Linked DNA regions of Coturnix japonica. The protein of the gene in region 1 interacts with the protein of each later gene in a biochemical or structural test. Links are inferred from orthologs where the notes say so. Each region holds a gene or a part of one and is shown on either strand. Other genes may lie near its edges.

Region 1 (3,649 bases):
ACTGGCTGGTTATAGGAACCCCTGCTTGGCTCCATCCCCACAGCCCCAGGGTTCATTGAACAGCCACGAGCTTCCCCTGCTGCCCCGTTCCCAGGCTCCCGGCTCTCCCCCTCCCCACATCATGACTCTGCCCTTGGGGCAGCTGAGCCCAGGGCAGCGTGGCAGAATGGTGCCCATCCCCTATTGGTGCCCATCCCCTATTTATGATGTACTGTCTGTGGGCCCAGCGCTGAATAAAGGATGGAGGTAAACGTGGCTCCTCTTCCCCTGTGTCCCTGCAGAGCATGGGGGGGATCCAGGCAATGAAAGCAGGATTAGGGCAGCTGCCCCATTCTTGGCTATCAGGGCTTTCCCTGCAGTGAGAGCAGCAGATGGAGGAGATGGGAGCAAACCACGCAGACAAAGTGGAGTAGAAAAAAAACCATCTACAATGATGAAATATACATCCAGGTGACACTGTCAGCTTAACGGGAACCCAGCAGGAGCCCAGGCAGCCCCGTGTCCACCTGCTCAGTGCAAGTCAATGTGTCCAGCGCTGCTGGGCGCCGGTGGGGAGGGGGCTGGGGGCACAGGGGTGGTGGGGGGCTCTGGGACAGCAGCAGCGTGGTCCAGGTGTATCCAGGGTGTATACAGGTGTATATAGGTGTATGGTGATGGGGAGCAGGGTGATGGGGCTCCCGGTCCTGTTGATGCTGCTCTTCTTCCTCCAGGAACCGTGTGGGGTTGGAGCATCCATCTCAGTGGGGCTTTGGGGCTCCTTTTGGGGGTCCTCTGTGCCCCCCCCTGTGCTGCTGCGCCGTCTCACAGTGCTCTATGCTCTCCTGCAGTATAGGGCACCCCCATGATTGGGGACAGTCCTGCCCCCACATCCATCGCCGGCCTCGTGCCGTCCCTCCCCAAGCTGCCTCGGTGAAAGGGGGGGGTCCGTATGTGGCCCTGCCCTACACAGCCACGTCCTCAGGCTCAGCCAAACCCAGGTACTCCGGGTTCTCAGCTGCTGGCGTGGAGCTGGGCCCACCCTCAGGGCTCCCAGCTTTGGGGGGGTCCTGGTTCCAGTAGTAGGGGTTGTCGAAGGCCTGGCTGAAGGCTGTGGGGACCGGCAGCCCCGGGGGGGCCAGGTACTCGGGGTTCTCCACGGCGTGGCCAAAGGGCCCCAGGAAGGGATGCTTGGTGTCCTTGATGAGCCCGTTCTTGCCTTGGTGGCCCTTGGGCTTGTCTGGTGGGGATGGTGGTGCACAGGGGAGCCGGGGGGGTGACGGCAGCTCCCCAGCCTGATTCACGTACTCTGCAGGGAAAAGGGATGTCAGCAGCCAAACAGGGTCCTTGCCCCCCTCCCCAGGGTCCTATATTGCCCTACCTGGCATAGTGGTATGTGGGGCTGGGGTGGTGAAGCCCTCAGGGTCCAGACCTTCACTCTCATCCCCCGGCAGCGCGGTGGGGTCCTCACTGTACCGTGTGGCTGGGGGGCTCGGCAGGGCTCCCTTGGCCCCAACATCCACCTCCAGAGCCTCCGACACGGGGCACTCTGACCCCTCCACCAGGTTCTGCGGTGGGAAGGGGAAGGCGGCTGATTCCTCCCCCTCTGTCGTGTCAGCTGGGGTCTCTGCTGTGCTCTGAGGAGGCAAAGGGCACGGAGTCGGGCACGGTGCTGTGGGGTCTATAGGGTCTGTGGGTGGCATTAGAGAACTTGCACCCTGTGCGCCCTGCAGCAGCACGATGCCCCAGGTCAGCCCTTACCCGCGTGGAGGAGATACGGCTGCGGTACGCGGTGGAGGTCTCAGCACTGAAGAAGCCCTGGTGAGGGACCAGGTATTCCTCAGCATCCACCAGGTCGTCCATGTCCTCCTCCTCCAGCAGCGCCCGGTAGAAGGTGCTGTCCATGTTGCTGGGCAGCCCGATCATGTCGTTCTGGGGGTCAGGGGGGGCTGTCAGTGCCCGTTGGGGCAATGCTGAAGGCGAGACCCCCCTGAGACCCCATTACCTGGATGACCACAAAGCGCTGGGGGTCGCGGGCCATGCGGGAGAACTCGGTGACCAGCTCACGGAACTTGGGCCGGCACTCGGAGTCGATCATCCAGCCTGGGGCAGAGCCGAGCACCGTGAGGGCGGCGTTGGGGTCCTGGCCCCCACGTCCCCATGTCCCCCCCACTCACATTTCACCATGATCATATAGACATCGATGGTACAGATGGGCGGCTGCGGCAGCCGCTCGCCTTTCTCCAGCAGGTCGGGGATCTCTCGTGCCGGGATCCCATCGTAAGGTTTCGCCCCGAAGGTCATCAGCTCCCACACGGTGACACCTGAGGACATGGGGATGTGGGGTAAGTGCTGGTTTGGGACCCCCTGCCCCCCACAGCCACCATAGGGACGCACCGTAGCTCCAGACATCGCTCTGGTGGGTGAAGCGCCGGCGCAGGATGGACTCCAACGCCATCCACTTGATGGGGACCTGGGTGGGTGGGAGGAGTGAGCGGGACCCTCAGGGGACACCGCGCTCCCTGTTGCCCCGTCCCCATGTCCCACCTTGCCCCCATCTGCGTGGTACTCGGTCTCATCGATATCCAGCAGCCGTGCCAGCCCGAAGTCGGTGATTTTGACATGGTTGGGGCTCTTGACCAGGACGTTGCGAGCAGCCAGGTCACGGTGCACCAGCCTCACCTCCTCCAGGTAGCTCATCCCCTGGGCAGCAGGCGTTAAGCCCCACATCTACATCCCCCCCACAGCCCCTCAGCAGCCCCCTCTCTTACCTTGGCGATCTGCACACACCAGTTGAGCAGGTCCTGGGATCCGATGCGGTCTTTGTTCTCCCTCACATAGTCCAACAAGCAGCCGTAGGGCATCAGCTGCGTCACCAGCTGCACCGTGGAGGTCAGGCAGATGCCCAGCAGCCTCGACACGTAGGGGCTGCCCACCCCGGCCATCACATAGGCTTCCTGCAGGCAGCACAGATAGGTCAGGTTGGCACCGACTCCCCAGCCCCGTGCCCACCTCCCCTGCACTCACATCCAGGATCTCCTTGTTGGCTTTGGGTGATGTGTTCTCCCGCAACACCTTGATGGCCACCGGGATCTTCACGCTCTCCCCATCGGGGATCCAGATGCCCTATGGGGGGTGGGGGGGCGGTGAGTGAGGACACAGATGGTGCCATCCCACTGACTGTGCCTCCCACCCCTCACCTTATAGACAGTGCCGAAAGCGCCGGAGCCCAAAACCTTCACTTTCTTCAGCTCCGTCTCCTTGAGGATGCGCATCTGTGCTTGGTTGGGGAGGGCCCCGCTGGGCGTCAGCGGCTCCACCAGCTGCGAGGGACAAGTGGGTGAGGAGGGACAACACTCTGAGCCCCCCCCAGGGTCATCCAGCCCCCCCACCTCAGTCTCCTGCAGCAGCCGCCTCATGGTGTGTTTCCTCTCCTGCTGCCGCCGGCGCTTGACGCAGACGACGGTGATGAGCAGAAGGACGACGACCAGCAGAGCCCCCACCACACCAGCAATGATGGATGTCACCTGGCTGCAGGACGGGAGGTGACAGGGGATGTGGGGATGGGGTCACCCCCTGATGCTCCCCTATGGGAGGGGGGTACCCACGGTGGTACCTTGGCTTCTGGTCCACGGGGCAGCCGTCCTCATCCCTGATGGTGCACCTGATAGAA
Region 2 (3,649 bases), on another chromosome or scaffold:
CCCCCACCCCACCCCGGGTGTATTTCTCTTACCCAGATTGACAGTAGCTACCTTTGCACCACATCGCTGATTTCTTGGACGCACGACAATAAGTTATTAAGGACGGGGTTTGCCCCAGGGATGCCAGCAGCTGTTGAGGACACCTGCAGTTCCTGCAGGCTGAGTTCCAGTTTGCTCACGGCTTCCCGGAAGGCAAATTTGTTGCGTGTATGCGGAATGCAGTCCACGTAGCCTGAGCAGTAATCCAACAGCTGATGCCCCGTGTCCACCAGCTGGCTGTTTGGTGTGGGCTCAGCGATGGCACTCGAGAGGAGGTCGGCGCACTCCAGCAACGCTTCCTTGCTGATTTTGTCTGCTGGGATTTTCTCGGTTGCCTGTTTGGTCTTTCTTAACGCTACCTTTGCACCAGCTGTGCCGTTGGCCATTTTCACTGGGGAGGTGGAAGATGACGACAGAGGCACTTGAGGCGGAGGCATCGCGGGCCTCCCAGATTTCCCACCGACAGGTGCTGCTGCTGCTGCTGCCTTCTTGCTCCCTTCACTTGACTCGTGCTGCGCTCCCGCCGCGTTGCTTAGCTCTTCTGCTGCATCCGAGCAGGCAGCCGGCTGCTGGAGGAGCCTCGTCACTGGTGGCGGAGGCGGAGCACACTTTGGTTTTACCCGTCTGGGCCGGTCCCTGTCGCCGGAAGAAGTGACCTGATGCTCAGATAAGAGCTTAAATTTATTACCCTGAGAGTCTGTGCCAATAAGCTGCACATCTGCTGGAGTGTGTTTCAGAGTGGGTGAGATTAGGACTGGCACTTTGTGGTTATGAGTGGTTGGAAGTATTGCTGCAGCCTTTACCGGAGAGGACCACCCCGCTCTCTCGCCATCCTCGAGGGCCCCTTGCCGTGGGACGCTGTTTTTTTCTTTGCTTTTAGGAGTTGCTGCTAGCCCTGCGATCTCCTTTTCCTCTGAACCGGAGGGGGTTCGGAAAGGGAGAGCTGTGGCACCCCTTGCCAAGAGTTTTGCTTTTGGTCTTTCTCTGGTCAAAGCGGAACCTTCTTCAAACCTTTTGGGCAGCAGGTCGTTTGCCCTCCCTGTGCTCTCATCAGGCTGAGAGGAGGTGGACACTGTCCGTTCCAGCTGGATTTTTGACCTCTGGGAATTTCTGGGAAGGGTCATTGCCATCCTATCCTGCTCTGGAAGCCCTGAGGACATGGAAGATGTAGAGTTTGACCTTGGAAAAGGCTTCGATGCTTCCTCATTGCCAGTGGGCTTTCCTGGTCGTAGACCCAGTGTCTTTTTAATCAAGCGCGGTGTAAAGAAACCTGTGATGCCAGACCACCCACCACCAGTGCTCACACCCCCACCGCTGCTGGTACCAGTGCCATCATCGTTGTAGAAGGTCCGCTGCACAAAGCTCCCACCGTAGCACTTGGGTGGTGCCAGGTTTGTGTCCTGCTGCGTGGGAGCAAAAGCGAACCCATCCACGTGCTGCAATGAAGCAACAGATGAAAAATTACCCGTTAACTCGTATTTCTTGTGGGGCTGATTCTCCATCTCCCGGAAGGAGCTACTGCGCTTGGGAGGCGTGGGAGCATTCCTCTTCTTCATGAAGGAGCTGAAGAAGCCACCTTTCCTGTCCCTGGTGAAAGTGGTCTCTTTGGCATCCTCCAGCAGGCTGCTGGGTGACTTGTCCCTCTGCTTGTGAGGCAGCGCGGGAGACCCGCTTGTTGGCTGTGTGCTTCTGATCAAACCTAGGAAGAAACAAGAAAGAATCCACAAAATCCATTTCCATTTCCACCTCCCTGTCCTGCAGCAGGCTCTAAGGGCCCAACATTTCCTTTACACAGGATCTGCAGAGAAAGACTGAGAGAGGAAGGTGGCACTTGTATTTCTGCGCTGGTCTGCTTTCTTTTTTAACACTGTACATGTGTGACCTGGCTGTTGTCTGGGGAGGCAGATTAGAAGGTCAGAAGGAAGTGAAGCTGCTCTTTTCTCTCAGTTTCTTACCCCCTTGCTGCAGTTCTTTTCTCCTTCCCCAGACACCGCAAAGTATAAGGGAAAATCTCATGCTGTCAGTTGTCAGTTTCAGTTTGAAAGTCGTTATCTTTAAAATACAGTTAAATTGAATTTTAAAGAAAGAAATGCAATGGGATGTACTGAAAGGATGCTGCAAACAGCCCTCAAGACACAGCTGCTCAAAGCACCAGCCTGGAATACTTTGGCTGGATGGGAGTTCACTTGAGTGCCTGCTTATGAAAAGCTGAAGAAAGCTGAATCCCCACATACACGTATGCCACAGAACTGCTTCATGTCCTGAGAGCAGAGTGGAGAAGTCTACTTGACCCAAAGAATTGTGCCTGTACAGACACCATCTCAGTTGTAAGGAGCAGATCCTCTGCCTCCTCAGGAATGAGAAGTGACACCTGTACTGTGCCCAGGCTCCCACCCCACTCTACCATTCTGTCACTGAAGAACAAGACCATGCAGGACTCCTCCCCATGAGCCATTTCATCCCTCAGCTCCCTCAGGGAGCAAATCTGCCATCATTCAGGTGTCTCTGCCTCACTAATCCAAGAAGAGTATCCTCAGCCCTGTCTCTCCTATCGCAGTAATCTAAATCCTGCAGTCAGGCCACAAACTGAAAGAAGCCAACACCATTAATCATTACCTTGACTAGAACGTGACATTTTACAAGCCATCCTGGCAGGACACTTGGTTGAAAGATCTCCAGCTGGTGGATGTTCTGTTCCCTTCTGCTTGTCTGACAATTGACACTGGGGGCAGATCTACCCCAGAACACACGGCCTCAGTGTGAGTGCCCTCATGCTCATACCTGGTGCAGAGCTGGATGCCGAATGCTCCAGGGTATCCTGTGTTCCTTCAATGTTCTCCTTGTTCTCTGCCTGTTTCTTCAGTGTTCTTGTCTTGGAGGGAAGCATGGGCAGCCGGGGCAGGTAAGGAACAATGGATGAGGAGGAGGCTGTTCTTCCAAGCTCCTCTGCTACCTCTGTAAGGAGGAACAGTAAGAGGAATGGTTGGAACAAATCCAGCAGCAGAAGAAAATAAAATATGGATCTCTACTGTAGTCCCAGACCAGCAAGAAGACATGACTGAGAATGCAAGCAGGTTGTGAATTTAGCTTTATGCCAACCCAGAGGTGCTTGGGGTAAACCATGTTTTACAAACAGAATTCTAACTTACATCTTTGTAAATCCAGCCAAAAAACGGTGGTAGGATCTGTACAAGTGAGGGTTTGGTATATATCCAGCTCTCTGCTGGGTTAAGGTTGCTCAAGAGCTGTACTTCACACTGAATGCATTTTCTTCCCTTTCTAAATAAGGTGCCTCTTGTTAATTGCCCCAGAGTTGAGTCTTTTCTGACTCTGGACCTAAGCTGCTTTGAGGCAAAACACTGCGTATCTCTATTAGCAATGAAGATTTCACGTTTCCTCCCCAGTACCAACACGGAGTATGTGATTTAAAAGCACTAACAAAAATCCTCCTGGACAGCCCCAGGTTGTTGTTTGTGTGGGTCCCTTGATGTGCCTGTTACAGATCCTCCCTGGTTGAATTTCACCTGGTGTGATTTTGCTATAGCAGGGAAGTGCGTGGATTGGCTTCATAGTTGAGAGATGCTGAAGCAATTGTGCTCATTTACCTGCT
Region 3 (3,649 bases), on another chromosome or scaffold:
TAGCCACTACAACACCACGAAGTTGACATAAATATTAAAGAAATGTAAAATCTTTGACAAAGCAATATATTCTCACAATGGGCTATCATGGAAGAGAAACTTAATCTAATGAAAGCACGTGTCACACTGCATAGGAAAAGAAGTCTGTTCTACAGAAAAACTGGCATGAAGAAAACTGGCATTCACATTCCCTCCTTTCTTTGTGAGGTAAGGCCCAGGTACCATTATTCTGACTGTCGAGCAAAATTTGAAGACTGAGGCAAACCCCCTCAAGAGCTAACATGATGTTACATATAGTTCCTACTTCTGTGGCATGTGTGCAAAGGATCAATTCAAAGATAAGAATTATTGTGAACTATTTGTCCCATATCCTCATCTCATACTTACTTGTACTGTGAAATCATCCACAACTACTGTTATTATTGACTAAAGGAGAAATAACCTTTATTGTACACTTACCTTAAGCGATGGACAAAAGAACACCGTTAGCAAGCAGTGAACACAATTAATATATACATATATATCTAGCATATACATATAATACATATACATATATATCTAACAGAAAACTGGAAATTAAATTAGCCCATCAATACTACAAAGCCTTTGTAATAACTTTAAGGTCCAGAAAAATTAATATCATAATGTAGTCTTCCACCAACAGAGAAGAACAAAGCACCTCCATCCTCAATTTACTCTTAAGCAGCTGAAGTGGATAAAGATTATCCTAATCCTGATTTACATTTACACAATATTTGCCCTCTTAACTAGTGCTATCTCTCAAACTTTTCCCCTTAAAAATCACAAAGAAAAAAAAAATACATAATATCTCAAAAGGAACTGAAATAAACTTCAAGATTTATTAAAAAACATGCCTTTCATTACCCTCAACAATTTCATCAAAAATAAAATTCCTCATTGTACAGGTCTCTAGAACAGAAAGAAGGGCCCACATGAGAGGGCAAACAGCTCTTTACCAGATACCCCGAAGATTATGAGAAATGTAAAGACAATATTCTCTACAAGTTTTGGATAATGTAGTTATCCAATAACTGGGAAGTTTTAAGTACTTTCTTACCACATATGATGGAAATGGATCTAATGCCACAGAACACAGAAAGTGTTTGGGACTTCTGGGAACCATTCTGGAAGCGTTCCATTGACACAGAGCCTCTGAATAAATAATTTCAGCTAACAAAGAAAGAACATACTATATCTAACCAAAATGTTATCCAAATGCTTCTTAGGAAAGCCAGTAAGGCAGAAGGAGGCAGTGGGGAGAGAAGGCATACAAAATCAGTGCAAGTTTATTCATTAGGATGGAAAAAAACTCGCACGACCATGCACTTTGTGCACCCTATGATTAAAATCAGTATAGCCTGCAATCAAATACTTGGGGAGTACTTGATCTACTTTATATTTTGTTGAAAAAGTTTTACTGCCTTTCTTTTAAAAAGAGCATTTTATCAGGGTGAACTTAAAAGGAAAAAAAAAAAAACAAAAAAAAACAACACATGTTTCATACAGGCTTTTTTAAAAGTATATATGAATACCCAGCAATCTTGTTTCTGCTATCCTTCATCTCTTTATTGTATTTTCTTTCTTTTTCAATTTCTCAAATTCTCTGTAAGTTTATCACTTCACTTTTTCTCCACCTTTGATCCTGAGCATTTCCAGATTCACTGTTCTGTAAGTGCCCGTGATTACTTCGATTGGAAATTCTATCAGATAAGATAGTCTCTACCAATCATGAATTAAAAAGGATGTACTTCCCGCAGTTAATGCCCAGGGAAGAAGCCAAAATCACAAGAGATTATGGAAGCAGACCTATTAAAGCCAAAAGATTTAACGTGATATATGCTTAGTTTTAGAGTAAGGTTATTCTCATTATCTGCCCTAGAATCTTTTTCTCACTAGTCTGCCATATTTGTACTATATTACTCATGTGTTATATTTTATGCTACTCCAGATCTCCTAATCTCTGCTAAAAGAAAAAAATACCTCTCTTCCCATGAGACCTTTTAGACTACCAATCTGTTTCTTCACATTTGCTGTTAATCTTCCCCCAGTGCGCCTGTGTTAAACTGGGATCGCTGTCAGCTTCACTGACTAGACACAGTACTGTCGATATCACCGACACAACTGACAATAGAAAGAAAGGGTCCTGAAGAGCTCCACCTACCACCTTAATATTTGGTTTACAATTGACTTATACTTTAGAATTACTATTACAATCCCATTCCCACCCAAAACAGTCCAAGCTGCCAGAATCGTTCAATAATAAAAGCTTTCAGTGGATGTTTACAGAAAAATGAGAGAAGTAAAAAAGATGGAACAGAGAATTGTCACACAGAATCATCTAGGAGGATTTCCTACACTAACTGACCAAACCAATTCATACAGAAGGACTTCCCTCTCTGCCTTGTCGGGCAGAAGGAGAAAGAGAACATGTAGGAATTTATTAAAATTTGAACTAGGCAGTCCAGATACAACTTTTACAACAGCAAAAAACAAACAAGCAAACAAACAAAAAACAAACAAACAAACAAAAAAAGAAAATCTAAAACAATTAAGTACACAAAATTTCATGAAATCTATAAAGACCATCTGATAAAATACCTTGTACATCTCTGCTTCAATTTGTTGATGAACACCTATGTAACTCTTCTTGACTTGCTGCTTGTCCTTGATCATCATGGTAAGCCTATGTAAAGGGCCAGAATTTAGATCTTCTGCGTGTGTCTTCATTATTTTGCTCAGCTGTTCTGTTTGTTGTACTACAAGCAACCAAGACTGTAAAAAGAAATAAACAGAATCAGAAGAGTCATTTATTCTGGCTTACAAATAACCAAACAATGGAAACGAACCCTGCTAAAAGATGCTTTCAGTAAAAAAAATAAAAAATAAAAAAATAAAAAAACTGAACTTCCCAAATTCACTTGCAATCTTCTAGAAAAATTGCTTCTCCTGTAACAAAACTGTGTAGTCAACTTACTCGTAAACTCATAAAAAAAGGATCAGAGACTAAAATGGAGCATCAGATGACAGCCACTCCACCAGGTAGGCTTTGCACTTCTGAGCACTCGTGAAAGCTCTACAACTTTTTCCAGATCACATCCTCAGCACATCTGACAAGCACATTCCTGCACTCTGTTTTCCCACCACATGAAACCACAGTTTCTCTGGCTAATACATGACTTCTTTGCCCTGGTTTACACACCAGTCTTTTTTTTTTTGTCATACGCAAACACACATGTCTATGTTTATACGAGCATGTACTTACATACACATGCACACATACATACAGATACAAATATTTCTGTCTGTATGCAATAATAGCCAGAGTGGAATTTAGAGAACAAAATGAAAGACAGTTAATTCCTGCACACACTAAGCGATCTTTAATATTTCCTTTAGCCGATAAGCACTCTTGCAACTGCTGGCATAACTGCTTTAAATAAGTCCAGAGACTGAAGATTACTGGTTATGTCTGAAAAGTGTTTATCTCCCCATTTACAGAGAACTTTCCAAATGACTTCATAAACCATAACGCAAAGCTGTGTACAACAAAAATAACATCAAAAATCTGTATGAGAAGAGTGGTTATAGAAAAGTTCATCAGAGCACTCTCAAAGGTGAAAAAGTAATA

Evidence for each region. The genes of interacting proteins can lie anywhere in the genome.
Region 2: the proteins of ERBB2 (region 1) and ABL2 form a complex in vitro, tested with the Homo sapiens proteins (3 studies listed by BioGRID and IntAct, with this or other methods). The link is inferred for Coturnix japonica from reciprocal best matches to the Homo sapiens genes ERBB2 and ABL2.
Region 3: the proteins of ERBB2 (region 1) and FER form a complex in vitro, tested with the Homo sapiens proteins (2 studies listed by BioGRID and IntAct, with this or other methods). The link is inferred for Coturnix japonica from reciprocal best matches to the Homo sapiens genes ERBB2 and FER.

The regions. Positions count from the first base shown.
Region 1 is NC_029542.1:3,928,443-3,932,091, reverse strand, and holds the end of ERBB2 (receptor tyrosine-protein kinase erbB-2), read right to left. Parts: intron 3,641-3,649; coding exon 3,593-3,640; intron 3,508-3,592; coding exon 3,369-3,507; intron 3,300-3,368; coding exon 3,177-3,299; intron 3,103-3,176; coding exon 3,004-3,102; intron 2,934-3,003; coding exon 2,748-2,933; intron 2,680-2,747; coding exon 2,524-2,679; intron 2,450-2,523; coding exon 2,374-2,449; intron 2,301-2,373; coding exon 2,154-2,300; intron 2,080-2,153; coding exon 1,982-2,079; intron 1,909-1,981; coding exon 1,738-1,908; intron 1,614-1,737; coding exon 1,358-1,613; intron 1,286-1,357; coding exon 942-1,285; 3' UTR 406-941; downstream 1-405. UniProt on the Homo sapiens protein: Protein tyrosine kinase that is part of several cell surface receptor complexes, but that apparently needs a coreceptor for ligand binding. Essential component of a neuregulin-receptor complex, although neuregulins do not interact with it alone.
Region 2 is NC_029523.1:5,530,356-5,534,004, forward strand, and holds part of ABL2 (tyrosine-protein kinase ABL2), read right to left. Parts: intron 2,995-3,649; coding exon 2,821-2,994; intron 1,739-2,820; coding exon 48-1,738; 3' UTR 1-47. UniProt on the Homo sapiens protein: Non-receptor tyrosine-protein kinase that plays an ABL1-overlapping role in key processes linked to cell growth and survival such as cytoskeleton remodeling in response to extracellular stimuli, cell motility and adhesion and receptor endocytosis.
Region 3 is NC_029547.1:42,306,631-42,310,279, forward strand, and holds part of FER (tyrosine-protein kinase Fer), read right to left. Parts: intron 2,794-3,649; coding exon 2,620-2,793; intron 1-2,619. UniProt on the Homo sapiens protein: Tyrosine-protein kinase that acts downstream of cell surface receptors for growth factors and plays a role in the regulation of the actin cytoskeleton, microtubule assembly, lamellipodia formation, cell adhesion, cell migration and chemotaxis.